Callithrix jacchus: one gene and its partners. The protein of the gene in region 1 interacts with the protein of each later gene in a pairwise test. Links are inferred from orthologs where the notes say so. Each region holds a gene or a part of one and is shown in the gene's direction. Other genes may lie near its edges.

What was found.
Region 2: the proteins of ANXA11 (region 1) and phospholipid scramblase 1 interact in a two-hybrid assay, tested with the Homo sapiens proteins (2 studies listed by BioGRID and IntAct). The two-hybrid records come from large-scale screens. The link is inferred for Callithrix jacchus from reciprocal best matches to the Homo sapiens genes ANXA11 and PLSCR1.
Region 3: the proteins of ANXA11 (region 1) and PDCD6 interact in binary tests that used the Homo sapiens proteins (3 or more experiments, as listed by UniProt). The link is inferred for Callithrix jacchus from reciprocal best matches to the Homo sapiens genes ANXA11 and PDCD6.
Region 4: the proteins of ANXA11 (region 1) and TFG interact in binary tests that used the Homo sapiens proteins (3 or more experiments, as listed by UniProt). The two-hybrid records come from large-scale screens. The link is inferred for Callithrix jacchus from reciprocal best matches to the Homo sapiens genes ANXA11 and TFG.

The regions. Positions count from the first base shown.
Region 1 is NC_133513.1:50,366,700-50,371,262, forward strand, and holds part of ANXA11 (annexin A11), read left to right. Parts: intron 1-1,155; exon of another isoform or gene 1,156-1,288; intron 1,289-1,476; coding exon 1,477-1,572; intron 1,573-2,656; coding exon 2,657-2,715; intron 2,716-2,911; coding exon 2,912-3,034; intron 3,035-4,563. UniProt on the Homo sapiens protein: Binds specifically to calcyclin in a calcium-dependent manner. Required for midbody formation and completion of the terminal phase of cytokinesis.
Region 2 is NC_133518.1:38,663,818-38,668,380, forward strand, and holds part of phospholipid scramblase 1, read left to right. Parts: exon of another isoform or gene 1-878; coding exon 879-1,102; exon of another isoform or gene 1,103-3,724; coding exon 3,725-3,767; exon of another isoform or gene 3,768-3,795; intron 3,796-4,563. UniProt on the Homo sapiens protein: Catalyzes calcium-induced ATP-independent rapid bidirectional and non-specific movement of phospholipids (lipid scrambling or lipid flip-flop) between the inner and outer leaflet of the plasma membrane resulting in collapse of the phospholipid asymmetry which leads to phosphatidylserine externalization on the cell surface.
Region 3 is NC_133503.1:205,761,314-205,765,473, reverse strand, and holds the end of PDCD6 (programmed cell death protein 6), read left to right. Parts: intron 1-1,562; coding exon 1,563-1,672; intron 1,673-2,430; exon of another isoform or gene 2,431-2,433; coding exon 2,434-2,532; 3' UTR 2,533-2,995; downstream 2,996-4,160. UniProt on the Homo sapiens protein: Calcium sensor that plays a key role in processes such as endoplasmic reticulum (ER)-Golgi vesicular transport, endosomal biogenesis or membrane repair.
Region 4 is NC_133516.1:91,882,601-91,887,163, forward strand, and holds part of TFG (protein TFG), read left to right. Parts: intron 1-2,386; 5' UTR 2,387-2,429; coding exon 2,430-2,613; intron 2,614-4,563. UniProt on the Homo sapiens protein: Plays a role in the normal dynamic function of the endoplasmic reticulum (ER) and its associated microtubules. Required for secretory cargo traffic from the endoplasmic reticulum to the Golgi apparatus.

The DNA.
Region 1 (4,563 bases):
CTGATGACTTCCCAGAATTGGGTATTTATCCTGAGCAAAACAGGAAGCCACTGGAGGGCCCTGAGCAGAGGAGGCTGTGCAGAATCCCTGGCTGCGGTGCTGAGAATGGAGGGAAGGGTGCATGGCTGAGCAGCGAAGCCTGTTGGGAGGCTGCTGCAGGAGCCCAGGGGAGGAACAGTGGCGGCAGGGGCTTGTGGTGAGGGGTATCACGTTCCAGCCCTGTTTGCTGATGAATTGGACACGTGGCATGTGGGACAGAGAGGTGTTGAGGATTATGTAGGGTTTCTTTAGGCCAAGCGGTGGGAGAATGGAGTGGCCCTCAATTGAGATAGGGGAGCTGTAGGTAGAGCTGGCTTTAGGTGCTTGTAGGGTGGAGCTACAGGGAGGCTTCTGGGTTGCTGTGCGTGGAGGTCAGGAGAGGTCTGGGCTGGATGTGGAAGGTAAGAGAGCTGTTGGTTGTCAAAGGTTTCTGTGGCTCTGGAACTGCAGAGCTGATTTGAAGAGATAATAATCGAAAAAGATAGAGCAGAAATCATGACTTTAGTATGCAAATGGAAGCTGACACTCAGGCTGAGGAAGGAAAGTTTTATGTCCTGCGTCAGAGCTGGACTCAGGACCCAGGTCTCCATCATGCCGCCTGCCTCTTTAGGAGCCAGCCGTCCACTCCCGTGGGTGCTTAGCATGTCCTAGGTTGAGCTGGACTGGCAGGGGTGGGCAGCAAAAAGCCAGGCTGTCTGGGGCAGGCTGGGCCTCAGCTCACAGGCAGGTTGAGGAAGACACAGATGCATGAATAAGGCCAAGGCATGGCAGAGACTGGAGGTGTGGGGGATTTGAGAAGAGGGGACACTGTGTTGGGGTGCAATGGGAGTGAGCCCTGGAGGGGAATTAAGGTGTTATTTGGTTAAACAGATTGGCAGTCCTGAGAAGGGGACTACAGGGAGGGACACTAGGCAGCACACATAACTTGTGATGAAGACTCTGGCTTTCTTGAGAGCTGGGCAGGCCTGGGGCCATGCAGGGTGAGGGAGCAGAGTGGAAGGCAGGGGGTCTTAGGGCAGAGGTCACCTCATGTGAGTCCTCTGTTAGCCTGCTCACGCTGCCATGACAGAATACCACAGACTGGGTGGCTTAAGCAACAGACATTCATTTTCTTACATTCTGAAGGCTGGATGTCCAAGAGCGGCACCGGTTTTTCCTGCTGCCTCTTCGTGGCTCTCACTGTGTTCACATGGTCTTTCCTCTGCAGACGCACATCCCTGGGGTCTCTGTCTCCTAACTTCCTCTTCTCCTAAGGAGGCCAGGCGGATTGGATCAGGGCACACCCTAGCAGCATGTTTTAACTTAATTACCTCTTTAAAGATCTTGTCTCCAAATACGGTTATATTCTGAGGTCCTGGGAGTTGGGACTTCCACATATGAACTTCGGGGAGACACATTTCAGTTCATAATATAAGCCTCTCTATGTCATCCCCCTAGTTTTCAATGAGTACCAGAGAATGACAGGCCGGGACATTGAGAAGAGCATCTGCCGGGAGATGTCTGGGGACCTGGAGCAGGGCATGCTGGCCGTGGGTAAGTGTCTTGGGCTTGCCTGCCCTCCTGCCAGGGACTAATGTGTATTGTGAGTGTTCAGGGTGCTCGCCTGTCCTCTAGCTTAGGGGTAACATTGTTAAAGGACCACAGGAGCCAAGATTGCTCAACCCAGAGTGTCCAGATGCTGGGAAGTCATGCCACTTCCCTATGCAATGGAACCCTTCGCTGTCCCAGAGGCATCTTGTTTGTGTTTGTGGTACAGCCCTAGAGAAGGGAACTGCAGTGTGGGTATTAGTGGGAGGGCATCCAGCAGCACTCCCGGAGGAGCATGACTCATATCCTGCCAAGTTTCCTCTAAAAATACATCCCTGCAGACAGTTGTCAGATGTTTGTGATGGAAACGCGTGGAAAGATTTTTACTTGCAACAGCGAAACAGGCCCATGCTGAGGAAAGCTGGCTTGGCTCAGAGGTGGTAGTGTGCCTCTTACTCAGCCTGTGTCCTCCAGCAGGGCCTGGCGGGCTCCAGGTCCCTCCCTGCTGTGCAGAGTTGGGTCCCCACCCTGAGGCCCTCACAACCTCTCTTTCTACTCACTTGGGAAAATCAGTCTGCCCCTTTTTTTCATTATGCTTTTTTTGAAACTTTCTGGATGGGAGAGCTGGAAAATCCGCCTTTCCCTGCCTGCCCCCACAGTAGGTCTTGTGGCCTGGGCAGCCAAGGGAGATGCTCATTCCACTCAGCACGGTTTCTCCATGAAGGGCACAGCCTCTCCAGTCTGCCCCTCCTGCCTGAGCAGCAACACAGTTCCTCATCACCATCCACATGGCTTCCCTGCGCAGCTCCTAGCCTCACGAAGACCCCCTCCCCTCTGGCTCTTGCTTTTTCACCACAGTGGTTGCCAGGAAAGAGGGTGGGTTGGTATCCTGTTTCTGCGTGTTACTGTTCCAAAGAACTGGAGCCAAGATCGTAGGATAGTTGAGTCTGGAACAGGAGGAGGAGGAGAAAAGATGGATGCAGTGATGGGTTTGACATCTGGGCCTCTAAGAGGACACTTGTAGACTCCATGCCTGGCTTAGGCTGAGAATTTTCTGCAGATCTGGTTATGCCGTGTTTCTCTCTTCTAGTGAAATGTCTCAAGAATACCCCAGCCTTCTTTGCGGAGAGGCTCAACAAGGCCATGAGGGTAAGTAACTTGCATGTGTAGATCCGGATGCCTTAGCCTCGCCTTTGCCAAGGGCTGAGGGTAGTAGGCCTGGGGAGAGCTAAATCTCAGCCGAGAGTTCTGAGAACCTGGGTTGGGAGGGGACTGACTGGAGGGCCCAGGGCGGGTGGGAAGTGAGGAAGCCTGATGCTCATGCTCTTGGGTGGACTCTCTTTAGGGTGCAGGAACAAAGGACCGGACCCTGATTCGCATCATGGTGTCTCGCAGCGAGACTGACCTACTGGACATCAGATCGGAGTATAAGCGGATGTATGGCAAGTCGCTGTACCACGACATCTCGGTACGGGCCTGCTACAGCCAGACTGGGCTTCCTTTTGGCATCCCAGTCACCTGTGGACCTTTCCTCCTTGAAGTGGCCATATGCTTGGCCCCTGTGCCATGTATGGGCATCTTGTTTGTGGACCTTGGACTTGCTTATCCCGTTGCCCCTAAACAGATTATAAGCTTCTGAGGGCAGGTGGGTCATGACCTTGCTGTCGCCCCCACCTTGCGTCCCCCAGCAGCATCAGAGAATACTCAGGACCTCCCCAACTTTGACCCTGACCTTCAGTGTTCCGGCTACCCTGTGATTCCACAATCTGTCAGTGAGAACTCATGTGCTGACCTGACTAAGCACTTCTTGCACTCAGGTTTATGACGTAGGACACATAGGAAGGCCATTCAGAGCAAGGGCCCTGGGGATCACGCCACTTGGAGTCCGGCTTTTCTATTTGCCAACTGAGTGACCTTGAACAGCTTCCTTAAACCTCCCTGCACCCCAGCTCCATTGTCTTTAAAATGAGAAAATAATCATTCCTTCCCAAGAAAGTAGTGAGTATTGAGTGAGGCAGTGCAGGTCAAGTGTCTGTTTAACACTAGCCACTGTGTATCACTATGCAGCAGAGCAAGTCTGACAAAGTATATATTCAACTGCCTGGTCTAACACTCCAATTCTGAACTCATGTAAGCCTTGAAATTGCACCATGGGACCACATCCCCACCTTAGACTCAGTAGCATTTGATGATGGTGGGCATGTCATCACGAGAAGCTCACTTCCTTTACCTGGCTGTATGAATGAAGCTGTTGCTAGAGAATTAGTAATTCTAGGCTGGGCACAGTGGCTCATGCCTATAATCCCAGCACTTTGGGAGGCTGAGGTGGGTGGATCACTTGAGGTCATGAGTTCGAGACCAGCTTGGCCGACATGGTGAAACACTCTCTACTAAAAATACAAAATTAGCTGGGCATAGTGGAGCATGCCTGTAATCCCAGCTACTTGGGAGGCTGAGGCAGGAGGATTGCTTGAACCTGGGAGGCGGAGATTTATTGAGCTTGGATTGTTCCATTGCACTCTAGCCTGGGTGACAGACTGAGACTTTATCTCAAAAAAAAAAAAACAAAAAACAGAAGAGAATTAGTAATTCTTTACAGAGTATCTCCTGCATGCCAGCGGGCTGTGGACATCTGGAAGAAGCTACATGCCTTGCTCTCAAGTTGCTTAGGGTGGAAGGAAATGATTAGAAATGAGCCAAGCTGAGCCTGCACTCTTAGAGTAAGTGCAGTGGCCTCAGACAGAGGAGAGATCCATGGGACCTGGGAGGCTGGAGCCCTTCACTGGACAGTCATGTGTGAGGAGGTTGCGTTTCCTGAGCAGAAGACTGTTGCATTAAACTGGTAACCGCAATTTAAGGCAGCATAAATGCACTGGGAAAAGCAGTATTGGTTAGCCCTGGGAAGTGGTTTTTAGGACGATTATAATTTTTTTTGTGGGTATTCATTTGACTTGGATAGTTGGGGTGAGTGCAGCTTTCCATCTTCTAATGGGGACC
Region 2 (4,563 bases), on another chromosome or scaffold:
GTTTTTTGCTGTCCTTGTTTCTCAAATTATATTTTCCAAAGACCAAAGAATGTTAAATTGTGAAATTTAAATTTCTAACCTAAATATTATAATGAAATTTTATTTTAATGAGGAAGGCTTAGGAAAGCAATACACTATGGGTTAAAACATAAGGCAAAGGGTTAACCCAAGCAGGTATCTGGAATGTCCTAAAAGAAATGACATGCTTTCACCTTCATATCTCAACAGTGGCACTACAGTATTTGGGGCTAGACAATTCTTCATTTTTAGGGAGCTGTTCTGGGCCTTTTAAGATGTGTAGCCGCAGCCCTGGCCTCTACCCACCAGATGCAGTATTATCTTCCTCTCCAGTTGTGACCCCAAAAAAAGTCTGCAGATCTTGTCAAATATCCCTGGAAGAGGGGGGCAAAACTACCCCCAGTTCTATACATATGTAAGTCATTTGCTAGAATTTCAGAATTATCATTTTTTCATAGGATACTTTGGCCCTAGAAATGCTGACTCAAAGCCATTATTTTGGGCCATCTACCTAATGCCTTCTCTCTTTCTCTTGAAGGCTTGCCAGAATCTTTATGTAGGTGACTCTAGATCATGGTTATTTACTTTGATTTTTCTCAGATATTAAAGCATATTTTCCATCTGAGTTTTGAATGGTATGGGTAAGGCTATTTACAGCCTACTAACCCAAAATAGAAGTGGTTGTGCAACCACAGATATTTCATTGAAAATTCTCAGAAAGATAAAAGCATATCTTGAACATCACGGATACAGATATCTATGCTGAAATGTCAACATATAGATAGATAGGTTAACCCCAGAACGCTTGACGATTCCATTTTTGGTGCAGTTATATATCATTTCACTTTTTTGCATTTCAGGACCTCCAGGATATGCTGGCTACCCTGGGCCCCAGGTCGGCTACCCTGGGCCCCAGATCGGCTACCCACCCCCACCAGCTGGCCATCCAGGTCCTGGGCCAGCTGGCTTTCCTGTCCCAAATCAGCCAGTGTATAATCAGCCAGGTGGAGCTGCAGGGGTACCATGGATGCCAGCACCACCGACTCCATTAAACTGCCCACCTGGATTAGAATATTTAAGTCAGGTAATTTGAAGGACACAACATACTCATAAAAAAACAGAACTGTGCTTCCAGCTTGAGAAACCAGATTAACAAATGAATAATTCATCAAAGTCTGAAATGGCAAAACTACATTTTCTGCTAACAGTTTACTGTAATTCTTTTAGGTCAGGTTCAATTTTAAAGCAAAATACAAATGCCTTAGAAAATAGTATTTTCTGTGATCCTAAATACAATCTGTGATAATAGCCAATAGCAAACATTTAGTTAGTACTCTTTTCTTGTTTTTGTCATATACATTATCCATGTATTAACTCATTTAATCCTTACAGAAAATCTGTGATATATAATGCTACAGTTAGTTCCGTTTTTCAAAAGAGGAAACTAAGGTCCAGAGAATTTATATCTCTCACTCTGGGGTGAGAACCTAAAGAGTTGAGAATGGTTTTTCAATCCAGAAACTTTGGTACTGGGCATGGTGCTCTTTAATCTCAATACTGAATAATTGCCTTATAATTTGAAATAAAATTTAAATATAGTTTATTGTTGAGTTTCAATAAGTGGCACCAAACAAGGGGTTAATATTTTATGTGCAATATGACACACCTTTTTATTTTAACTAATAAAACTACATTTTTATGATGCTGCTTTTGTTTTTTGAAAGATCCAATTATATAAATGTCATTAATAAAGGAGTAAAAAGTCCTGGATTTTGTTCCACTAAATTCTAATTAGTCTCAGCAATAAGAGGTTTAACATTTATGTGGTGTTAGAAATCAAGTAGGTCAAATAGAAACAAGAAACTCTGTGTGTTCAGTTTATACAAATAAAAACAAATATTCTTGTGATATTCAACCAGTTTTTATTTCATGAATCATTTCTTTCTTGCACTGTGTTTAGTAACTTAATTTCTCACAATGCACTTAAGTGGCACAATCATAGGAATTTTTAGTCATTATTATATCATGCAAGAAATATATAAAAATAGGTATTTTAAAAATCAGGGTCGTAAAATACATAAAGGATGTTATCACATATGACAAAGGTTGATATTAAGTATGATTAATACAAATTTGAAACGTGTAGAAAATTGATGGCTAAAAAAGTTATCAATATTTCTTGAGCCTCTTCCAGAAGAAAGATTGTTATCTACTTTTAAAATTATTTGACACATAGTACTTGTACATATTTATGGAGTACAGTGTGGCACTTTAATGCACATAGACTATATGTAATAATATAATCAGGGTAATTAGCATATCTATCACTTTCAACATCTTATCATTTTTAGTGTTGAGAACATTCCAAATCCTCTCTTATAGCTATTTGAAAATGTACAATAAATTATTGCTAATTATAGGCAGCCTACATAGCTATAGAACACTCGAATTTATTCCTCCTCTCTAGCCATAATTTTGTATTCATTAATCAACTTCGGGTTATACCCCTCCTCCCTACCCTTCACAGTTTCTAGTAACCACTGTTCTACTCTCTACTTCCATGGGATCAATTTTTTTAAGCTTCCATGTATAAGAACATCCAGTATTTTTTTTTTTTTTCTGTACCTGGCTTATTTCACTTAACATAATGTCCCTCAGGCTCACCATGCTGCTGCCAATGACAGAATTTCATTCATTTTTATGGCTGACTTTTATTCCATTGTGTGTATTAAGAATGAATTTTTCAGCTGGTCATGCCTGTAATGTCAGCACTTTGGGAGGTCGAGGTGGATGGATCACAAGGTCAGGTATTCGAGACCAGCCTGCCAACACAGTGAAACCCCATCTCTAACAAAATTAGAAAAAAGTGGCAGGCGCCTGTAATCCCAGCTACTCAGGAGGCTGAGGTAGAGAATCACTTGGACCTGGGAGGCAGAGATTGCAGTGAGTCCAGATCGTGCCACTTCACTCCAGCCTGGGTGACACAGTGAGACTCCATATCAAAAAAAAAAGAATTTTTCTGTATTCATTTATCTATTGATGAACACTTAGGTTGATTCTACATGTTGACTACTAGTGCTGCAATAAGCATGACAGTGCAGATACCTCTTTGACATATTGATTTCCTTTCCTTTGAAATTTTTGTTTTGAAAATTTTGAAAAATTTGAAAAAAATATTGTTTTGGAAAAATGGTAGTAGGATTGCTGAATATTCAATTTGGTAGTTGTAATTTTAGTTTTTGAGGAAGCACTACATAATGGCTGTCCTAATTTACTTTCTCACCAAATCTTCCCTGCTCCACATTTTCACTATTATTTGTTAGTTTTTGTCTTTTTGATAATAGCCATTCTTAATTGGGCAACAATAATATCTCATTGTGGTTTGGATTTGCATTTCCCTGGTGATTAGTGATGTTAAGCATTTTTTCATAAAAGTACCGAGCGTTTGTATCAATTTTCTAGTTTTTAAAGTTACTCCAGTGTAAATCAATTTTATTTGATCTAAATTTCCACACGTTAATTGTAAACACAATATTTTATTAATTAAAAATATTAACTTGTTTTACACTAAAAAGTAATATAAGCTATTAAATGTTGATAATTGATTCCCTGTACTTTAAATATATAAATACATGAATTTTAATTTGGTTGGCTTAAAAAAACCTTCATTTAACATATACTTACCACTTTTTTTTTCCTATAATAGATAGATCAGATACTGATTCATCAACAAATTGAACTTCTGGAAGGTGGGTGTTCATTGTATTAATCTTATTTCTAAAAAGAATAAAAGTTTATGCAGATAAAGAAACATCAGATTTCACAAATATAACACTCTCACTTATATGGGACAGTTAAACTGGTTATCTACTATAACAAAATAATAAACATCAGCAATTCATTTCTAAAATTTAGGAATCAAAAAGTAAAATGCCATTATGCTGGGCACTTTCCTCGGGATATTGACACTAACTTAAAAGGAAAATAGTCAAAACCTTTATTTTGCTCCTCTCTTCATACATCACGTTTTATCTGGCTTCTACTACTTAAACTGTTTTCTCTGTAATTATGATCAACTTCAGAATGGCACGGAGTCATATTCAAAAGTAAGTTATCTTTTGTGTTTGGATGAGAAAATATTGGAAAATTATCATTTGTTCCCACAGTTTCTCTTAGGAGTTAAGATGAACCCAAGAAAACCTTTGTATACCAGGTTGGATGCAGGGCACTGTGGCATTGGAGAATGCTGACCAACTAGCCTGCAGGCTTGGCTTCATAGAAGAGCACTCCTGCTGAATGGCCTTACATTTCCGTGGGTCCAGGACTCCTTAGGTGCAAGAATAAACTTAGGAAGACAATTACTGTTTTACAATAGCTGCCAGGGGAAGAAGACCCTGGGTAGATTTATGAACCATAGTGTTTTCTTTCTAGATATAAAAGGTTTAATAAAAACTCTACCAGTTTTTAGGAATATGTATGTTAAATTCATTTTCACCTGTCTCCAGGCTTCTTTCCACTGGTAAAAATTAGAAATTGTACAAGCAG
Region 3 (4,160 bases), on another chromosome or scaffold:
ATCCCGCATTTTACTAGTTTGACTTTCTTTGTTTTCCCTTCACTATCGCCGATGACCGAGGAAACTGGGAGTTAATTCCAGAGGCAGTGGAGTTGCTCTCGTTGTCTGTGCTGACGGGAAATCCTGTGCCTCTGTCCTTCCCCAGTGTTTGCAGAGGCCAGTGATGGCCTCTGTCCCCCGTGCACCCCAGTGATGGCCTCTGTCCCCCGTGCACCCCAGTGATGGCCTCTGTCCCCCGTGCACCCCAGTGATGGCCTCTGTCCCCTGTGCACCGCAGTGATGGCCTCTGTCCCCCGTGCACACACAGACAGGCAATGTCCCTTTGCCTGTGTCCCAGGCTCTGTTCTCAGCAAGTGATCCTAGCCCCAGCACGGGTGTGGGGGGAGTGAGGAGGTAGGAGTAGTGGGGACCAGGGGAAGTGGCAGCTGTTCACAACTCTGCTGTCTCTTTCTGAATTTAATGGGAGGGCCTGTCTTCTCAGCTTGCAGGGAAGGAGGGTCTGAAGCAGCTCCACCGTCACACATTTAGGGACCCCTGAACTTAAATGACAGAACGCCCTGACCACTCTGGAAGGCACTGTGTTCCTGTTTGTGTGCTTGACTCTTGTCGGTGGAATGGCTGTTGTGGAGGCGATCACCTGTGAGATTTAGACAGTCGGTGCAGGTGCACACGTCCCTGCAGAGATTCTGGCGAGGCTGAACACTAGTAAAAACATACTGGCACCTGCTTGTTGCCTCCGGAGTCAGTAAGGATGCCACAGTCATGCAGGTAGTGGGATTCGAGGGAAGGGGGCAGGCGGGGCATGCCCTCCGGGGTGGCTGAGGACACCTGGTGCGTCCACACGCCTTCAGAGCCGTCTGCCTTGGGAGGCCTTTTCAGGACACGCTCAGGGAGCACCCAGACAGGCAGTGGCCCTGTGGATATTGGAATCCTAGCCCTTGGTGGCCCTTCAGTGACTTGGTCCTTTCTGTGGCCGCTCTGCCTCTGTGCTCTTCAGTCCCTCATGGTAGAGGAACGCGTCCCTCAGCTACTCCCATTTTCCTACATTGACACTTGGTGTAACTAGAAGCCGCCTGTGAAATTTTAGTTTCAAAGCATTGTCTGGTGATGAGCAACCCAGGGCAGTGAATCATCCAGAATTTTCTTATCTAATAAACATAATAAGATCAACAAGGACTTTAGAAAGTAACTCACTGGGTTCACGAAACTGAGCGTGGCGCCCCGTGGGGGGTGTTTTTTGAGTGCTTCCCTGGAATGAGTGGTTACTTCACGAGTGACTTCACACCAGCTTTCAGGACAATGGCAGCTTCCCAGGCATTCCTCCTTCCAGGGTGATGATCTCAAGGGGTGACTTCATGCACTGGGGACAGAAGCTCATTACAGAACCATGTATTCGGGAAGTGTCTCAGTTCTGAGTGCCTTTGAGTGAATTTGCACTTCTGTTCCCACCCAGCCCTGCACTGTGTGTTAGAGGCTGTGGGCCTTGGGAGGGAGGCTGTGGGCGTTGGCACACACCTTGAGTCTCTCCCAGCCCTCCCTGACCCCGCCTTTCCCTCCTCAAGGCTACCGGCTCTCTGACCAGTTCCACGACATCCTCATTCGCAAGTTTGACAGGCAGGGACGGGGGCAGATCGCCTTCGACGACTTCATCCAGGGCTGCATCGTCCTGCAGGTGACCAGTGGCTTCTCGTGGGTTTGCTGTGGGGGCGGGAAGGGGTTGCCCACCCACGAGGTGCGCCTGACCATTGATCTAAGGAATCAGGCGTATGTCGAATTAGGTTTTGGAGCTTATAAAAGTTAGTCTCATCTTTGGAGAAGTAGCTGGTTAGTGAAGTGTGGACAGGCATGTTTTCCTTCCCTTGGAAATGGCATAGAGCAGCCCATCTGGAAGACGCCATTTAGGTGGTATCTGGTGGGTTATTTACACTTATGTCCTGGTGTATTTTTTTTTTTTTTTTGAGATGGAGTCTCACTCTGTCACACAGGCTGGAGTACAGTGGTATAATCTCTGCAACCTCCGCCTCCTGGATTCAAGTGATTCTGCCTCAGCCTCCCCAGTAGCCAGGATTACAGGAGTGCACCACAATACCTGGCAGATTTTTGTGTGTGTTTTTTTTTTAAGTAGAGATGGGGTTTCGCCATGTTGGCCAGGCTGATCTTGAACTCCTGAGCTCAGGTGATCTGCCCGCCTCAGCCTCCCAAAGTGTGGGGATTGCAGGTGTGAGCCACCGTGTCTGGCCAACTATGGCGATTTTTGCAAAAATTTTTATTCTGAGAAAATGGACACGTTTTCTGTTGCCTCACCTGTATCTCCCTGTGCTGGCTCCATCAGGAGATGGCATGTGTGCTCCTGAAGTTGGGCCCCTAATGTCTTCCTCCCAGTGCACCTTGTTCCCACATCTGTCGAGATTTAAATGCCTGCTTTTTCCCCAGAGGTTGACGGATATATTCAGACGTTACGACACGGATCAGGACGGCTGGATTCAGGTGTCCTACGAACAGTATCTGTCCATGGTCTTCAGTATCGTATGACCCTGGCCTCATGAAGAGCAGCGGGACCGACGTATGGAAAAAAGAGCCAAAAAGCCCAAGTTCCTACCTGTGAGGGAATGGAACGCGGATGCAGTGAGATGGTGTTCTTCCTTTAGATTTGACCACGTGGGGACCGGGCTGTACATATGTGGATACGCTGGTTAATGCGTCTGCAACCCTAACAGGAGCTGTATCATTATAACACAAGCCTTGGGTTTGGTGACTGTCTCATTGTGCCATGAGGTAACTGCAGTAATGTTTCAGGCATTCTGCTTGCAAAGTCTGTCATGAGCTTTCTAGATATCTCTGGTCTATAGTGGAAATGCTTTTATTAGTCAGTAGGAATTTTAAAGTCGCACAGAACCTGCACACAGAAGGCTGTTCATGTGCCTTACTTTTTAAAAAGAGTTTATTGTAGTCATTGGAATATGCAATGTACACAATAAAGGGATGTTAGACGCGTGGTCCGCCTTCAGCTCAAATCAAACGGGTGTCAGAACCAAGCCCCACGGCCTGGTCATCCAGACGGTCACTGTCAGATGTGCTGGCTCACTTGGGACCTCCCAAGGTCCTGGACACCTTCTGGAACGTTCTTCAGCCCAGCGTGCACAGCTCTGCTTGTGAAAATCCAGAGGGATTGTCCCACCATCGGTTGAGGTGGTTACATTTCATAAAACTGCTCCATTTGGACGAAGAAGTCTAATTTGGTTTAGCAGGTCATGTATTTCCATCATGAATGATTTAGTCACGCTCTGCCCTGCGTCAGCCACAGTCTTCGCACGTGGCCAGCCAGCGCGTCCCCTGCTCGCCTCAGCCCTCCCTGCTCAGTGCTGGGCCCTCCTGGGTTCACGCTCCCGGGCCCCACCCCGTTCTCTGGACGCTGCCCTCCTTACACAGCCTGGTGTCAGGGCTGCAGCCTCGTCTCTGCCTTGACGCTGCTCCTCCCATGCTGGCCTGCACAGCTTTTCTGTTTTGATGTCTCAGGATCTTCTACCTGTTCAAACCCCTGCTCAGCATGTTCGGGGTGACAGGTAGGGGGCGTGGTTTCCTGGAAAATATCCCCATTTCTTAACACTGGACAGGCGTGCTGGGGGGCTGGGGCTGTATTCGCACTCCAGGTGGGACCCCCTCCCTCCCCACCACCCACCTGCGCTTGTCCTGGGGCCCTCTGGCTACAGATCCCTCTGGAGCAGGCACTCCTGGCTCCCCGGGGATGGGGGGAGGAGGAGGGACATGGGCTTGGGAGTCTGGCTGCTCCCTCTGGCCACACCGGCAGCCTGTGCTGGCCCCTTCTCAGGTGCCCAGGCCCTGTGTGGTCCCCTTGTCTGCTCCATGTTGGCCACTCTGCTGGTCGAGCCAACTGCCAGGCTGCGGGAGATCTGTGCCCACAGCTGTCTGTGCTGCCTGTGGCTGTATATGTTGGTCCTGCGGTCCTGGCTGGTGTGTGTGTCCCCCAGCAGCACCTGCAGCCTTGCTCACCTCATCCCCTTGCAACCCCCACCCCTCACACTGGTACATGGGCCTCCCTGAGGACCTGCTGAAGCCAGAGCTTTCCTTGGAGAAGTGGGCGGGGTATTCAGATTTCAGATTTGGGTTCTGGTGGGTGTCGCTGATAAGAAATTGGGGGT
Region 4 (4,563 bases), on another chromosome or scaffold:
AGTCCATTGTGAGAACTGGCAGATGAAAAGCTAATTGTATTTTAATTTTGCATTAAGATAAGCATGGCATCCCTAGAGTGGAATGCAGTCCACTCTATTCTGCATTGACTTTAGAGTGTTATATTTGGTTTTAATGACCCATTTCAGTAAAGATTTATTAATATCTATCTGTTCAGAGCATGGTGGAGGGGTTCTAAAGATAATTCATTTAAGGACTAGTTAGATGAAATGACCTAGGGTATTTATATGAAGAATAGTAGGGCATTAATGTATAATACTTATGAAATTGGATTCATGAAAACTTTTTTCAAGTACTTGAAGGGTTGATGTGTTGGAGGAGCAGGTGAGTGCTTTCACATACCCCAAAAGAATAAAGAATAATTGCAGAGAAGTGTGGTGTTAATGAAACAACAGTCTTAGGAAGAGGAAACAGAAAGCTGCTTATTAGCGAGGTGGGAAGCTGAAACTAGAATGTTGTAGAACACTTTAAAAAGTCTCAAGAGATCTTTTTCTTGGAGCAGGAGGAGGAAGGAGTTGATGCCTAGAAAATGTTCAGCGATTATAGATAACATTCAGGAACATCTTGGCCTTGAGAAGAAGAAATATTAACCCATTATTTGATCATAAGTATATCCTCTGTTATTATTTAGCAACCATTTAACTTGCTAGAGACCTTCAACATTATTTTGAATTTAAAATTCCACAGTCATGGCCTGATTTGGTGGCTAACGCCTATAATCCCAGCACTTTGGGAGGCTGAGGTGGGTGGATCACTTGAGGTCAAGAGTTGGAGAGCAGCCTAACCAACATGGTGAAACCCCATCTCTACTAAAAAATACAAAAATTAGCCAGGCATGGTGGTGCATCCCTGTAGTCCCAGCCACGCAGGAGGCTGAGGCATGGGAATCATTTCCCAGGAGGCAGAGGTTCCAGCTAGCCCATATTACACCACTGCAGTCCAATCTGGGTGACAGAGTGAGACTGCATCTCAAAAAAAAATAAAAATAAAAATACGCAGTCATTACAGGATAGTCATACTGAATAAAATTAAAGATTAAAATAAAACCTAAGGGAAAATTCTATAACAAGTTAGTATTTAGCGGCTAATTGTTTGATACTGTCTTATTTAATAAAGAATGCGGTCCAGATCACACCCACCCAGGTGGGAAAGTTATGGAGTAAGCAGCACAGTAGTGGATGGTCTTTAAAAGTTCAGGTAGGTATTACTAATTTGTCCTCTCTCCTCCAGTTCCTCCACATAGAGAGGAAAGAACATCCTCATGAGGTCTTTCTCAGAAAAACTTGAGGCTCTATTTGAGTTAACTCAAATAGAGTTAGCTTTTATTGTTGTAGGATAATAGCGTTTTGAAGCCAGTATTTATTTTTCCCTTTATTTAACAGCTGTTGAATGACTTCCGGTCTGCTAGGCACTCTTGTAGGCTCTGGGAGTATGAAAAACTTCGTACCATCAAGTGGAAAAGACAATAAAAAGTTACAAAATTTTAATGTCTGGTGATGTTAAGTGCTTCGAAGAAAAGCAGGATAAGATAATGATGGGGGAGCCATTTTAAATTGGATGGTTAGGAAAGACCTCTCAAAAATTAACATTTAATAAGTAATCTGAATCATATGAGGGCTACCAGAAAGGTTCAAGACAAGGGGAAAACTTGAAGTGTGGGTGTGACGGTGAGTGAAGAAGAGAGGTAGGAAATGAAGTTAAATACTTGGCCAGGGGCTGGGGGCCCTTATAGGTCTTGGTTTTTGATATGGGAATGCATTGGAAGGTTTTGAACAGAATGATACTAGGTTTTATTTAACTGGCTTAACTCTGGTGTGCTGAGACTAGATTAAAAGTGGGCAAAGGTAAAAAGCAGGCGAACTGGTTAGGAGTCTTCCAGTCATTAAGGTAAGCAATAATAGTGGCTTGAATCAAGTTGATAGCAGTGAAGGTGCTGAAGTGGTTGGACTCCAGAGTTATTTTAAAGGTAGTGGCAACCATATTTTGTTGGTAGTTTGGATGTAAGGTTTGAGAAAAAGATCAACCAAGATTTTTTTTGTCTTACACAACTCAGAGGAAGTGAGATTGGGAAGCCTATAGGAGAGGCATAGGTGGGGAAGACTAGGAATTTATTTTGATGTAAAGAAAAATCTAAGTCGTAATGTCAGATAAACAGTTAAACATAGATAAAATAATAGTAGACATAAAATAAAAGCTTATTTTATTATCTCTACAGTAAAATAATGTTGCCTCCAGGCCATTTTAACACAAATACAGTAACATGGGGATAATGAATCTTCTGGAGGCCAGAGTTTCTTAGCATCTAGTAGTAACTCTCAACTTTTAAGAAATGTTTTGTTGTTTAATTATCAAAACCACTTTTATCAGCCTTTCTCTAGAGTTCTATATATAGAACATCCTGGAGTCTACCATGAATGGACAGTTGGATCTGAGTGGGAAGCTAATCATCAAAGCTCAACTTGGGGAGGATATTCGGCGAATTCCTATTCATAATGAAGATATTACTTATGATGAGTTAGTGCTAATGATGCAACGAGTTTTCAGAGGAAAACTTCTGAGTAATGACGAAGTAACAATAAAGTATAAAGATGAAGGTAAGAGTGTTTTTAAAGCTATTTGTAAACGTTTGTTCATTTATTTATTTATAAAGAGACAGAGCCTCTCTGTTGCCCAGGCTGGAGTACAGTGGTGTGATCAGATAAGTGTCACCTTGAACTCCTGGGCTCAAGCAGTCCTCCTGCCTCTGCCTCCGCCTCCCAAAGTGCTGGGATTACAGGAATGAACTACAATGTCTGACTTTAAAGTCTTAAGTATTGTATGTGTTGTTCTGCACATTTTTATTGGACTCTTTTTTTTGATCATTTGAAAATAGCTAAGTGGTTTATTAGAAGGGAATTTTAAGTGTTATAACATTTTCACAAGCATCATTTTCTCCTTTTGTCCATATAATTCTGGTTTCTTTTAGCTTAAAATTTTTCTTTTCTATTCTGATTTTCCAGTGAAAGAAAGGTTGTAGTATGTATTGAATGAAAAAGGATTTCATGGTCAACTAAGTGTGGGAAAGCTGGTTTAAACAAAGACAAAAGTGTTTCTTTATTGTAGGAATTTTCAGAATATGTAATGTTCTTATGTAAGTTTTCAAAAATTTGTAGTGTACAGTGTTCCCAGACTCATTTGTCGATAAAACTCTTTTTATGGAAATAGGTTTTGCATGAAAAATGTTTTAGCAAACACGGATTATAGTATTAGACTATGTTTCCTATTCTTTTTTTTTTTTTTTTTTGAGACGGAGTTTCGCTCTTGTTACCCAGGCTGGAGTGCAATGGCGCGATCTCGGCTCACCACAACCTCCGCCTCCCGGGTTCAGGCAATTCTCCTGCCTCAGCCTCCTGAGTAGCTGGGATTATAGGCACGTGCCACCATGCCCAGCTAATTTTTTGTATCCTTAGTAGAGGTGGGGTTTCATCATGTTGACATGGATGGTCTCGATCTCTTGACCTTGTGATCCGCCTGCCTCGGCCTCCCAAAGTGCTGGGATTACAGACTTGAGCCACCGCGCCCGGCCATTTCCTATTCTTTAACCTGCCTTCTCTGTTAACATCTCTGCTGAAATTTTCTTTTTAGGTGGTTACCAATGGGGTGTGTGTGTGTGTCTGTGTGTGTGTGTATATAAAAAATATAAACATATATAATACATATATATACACACACACACACACACACACGTTTTATTGCACTTTAGGTTCTCGGGTACATGTGTAAAACATGCAGGATTGTTGCATAGGTAGGTACATGGCAGTGTGCTTTGCTGCCTCCATTCCCCGGTCACCTGTATCTGGTATTTCTCCCCATGTTATCCCTTGCCAACCTTCCTACCCCTCTGCAGTCCCTCCCCTATTTCCTGCCAACAGACCCCAATGTGTGATTTTATATTGAACTTACTTGCAGTGTATTTCATCTTGACCTCACTATTTAGCACTGCTATCCACACCATCCTTGTTAAATACTTTTACCTCTTAACATCTCTGGCACTACTTAATCTGATTTTCTTATCACATAATGATACAATACATATAATGTCTGTGTTAGTGTTGGCTTAAAGTAATGCCAGCAGATAGAATTAGAAATCTTAGAATCTGAGTGGTTTAACAGTCAAGACATCTTTCAGATATCCAGGCTGAAAGAAGCTGTTACCTTAAACACATTGTTCATAAGCTCACCGTAGGCATTGACATTGGCAGGCAGATGAGTGAAGACAGAGTATGAAGAATCATATGGGAGGTTTTACTCACTAGGCCTGATGGTGTTGTATGTCATTTCTGCCCTTATCACGTTGGTCAGTACCCAGTTACGTGACTCTAAGAGGCAAATTGGTTGGGAAGTGTAGTCCCTGGCTGAGCAGCCGCTGTGCACAACTTATGCTGTGGAAGAGAAGAGTGAATCACTGGTGATAAATTGGCCATCTAGCTATAGGTATAATTCTTTCTTTTTATAATGTGTATTCTAAGCACCCAAAACAAAATTTTGAGAGTTGCCCATGTGAA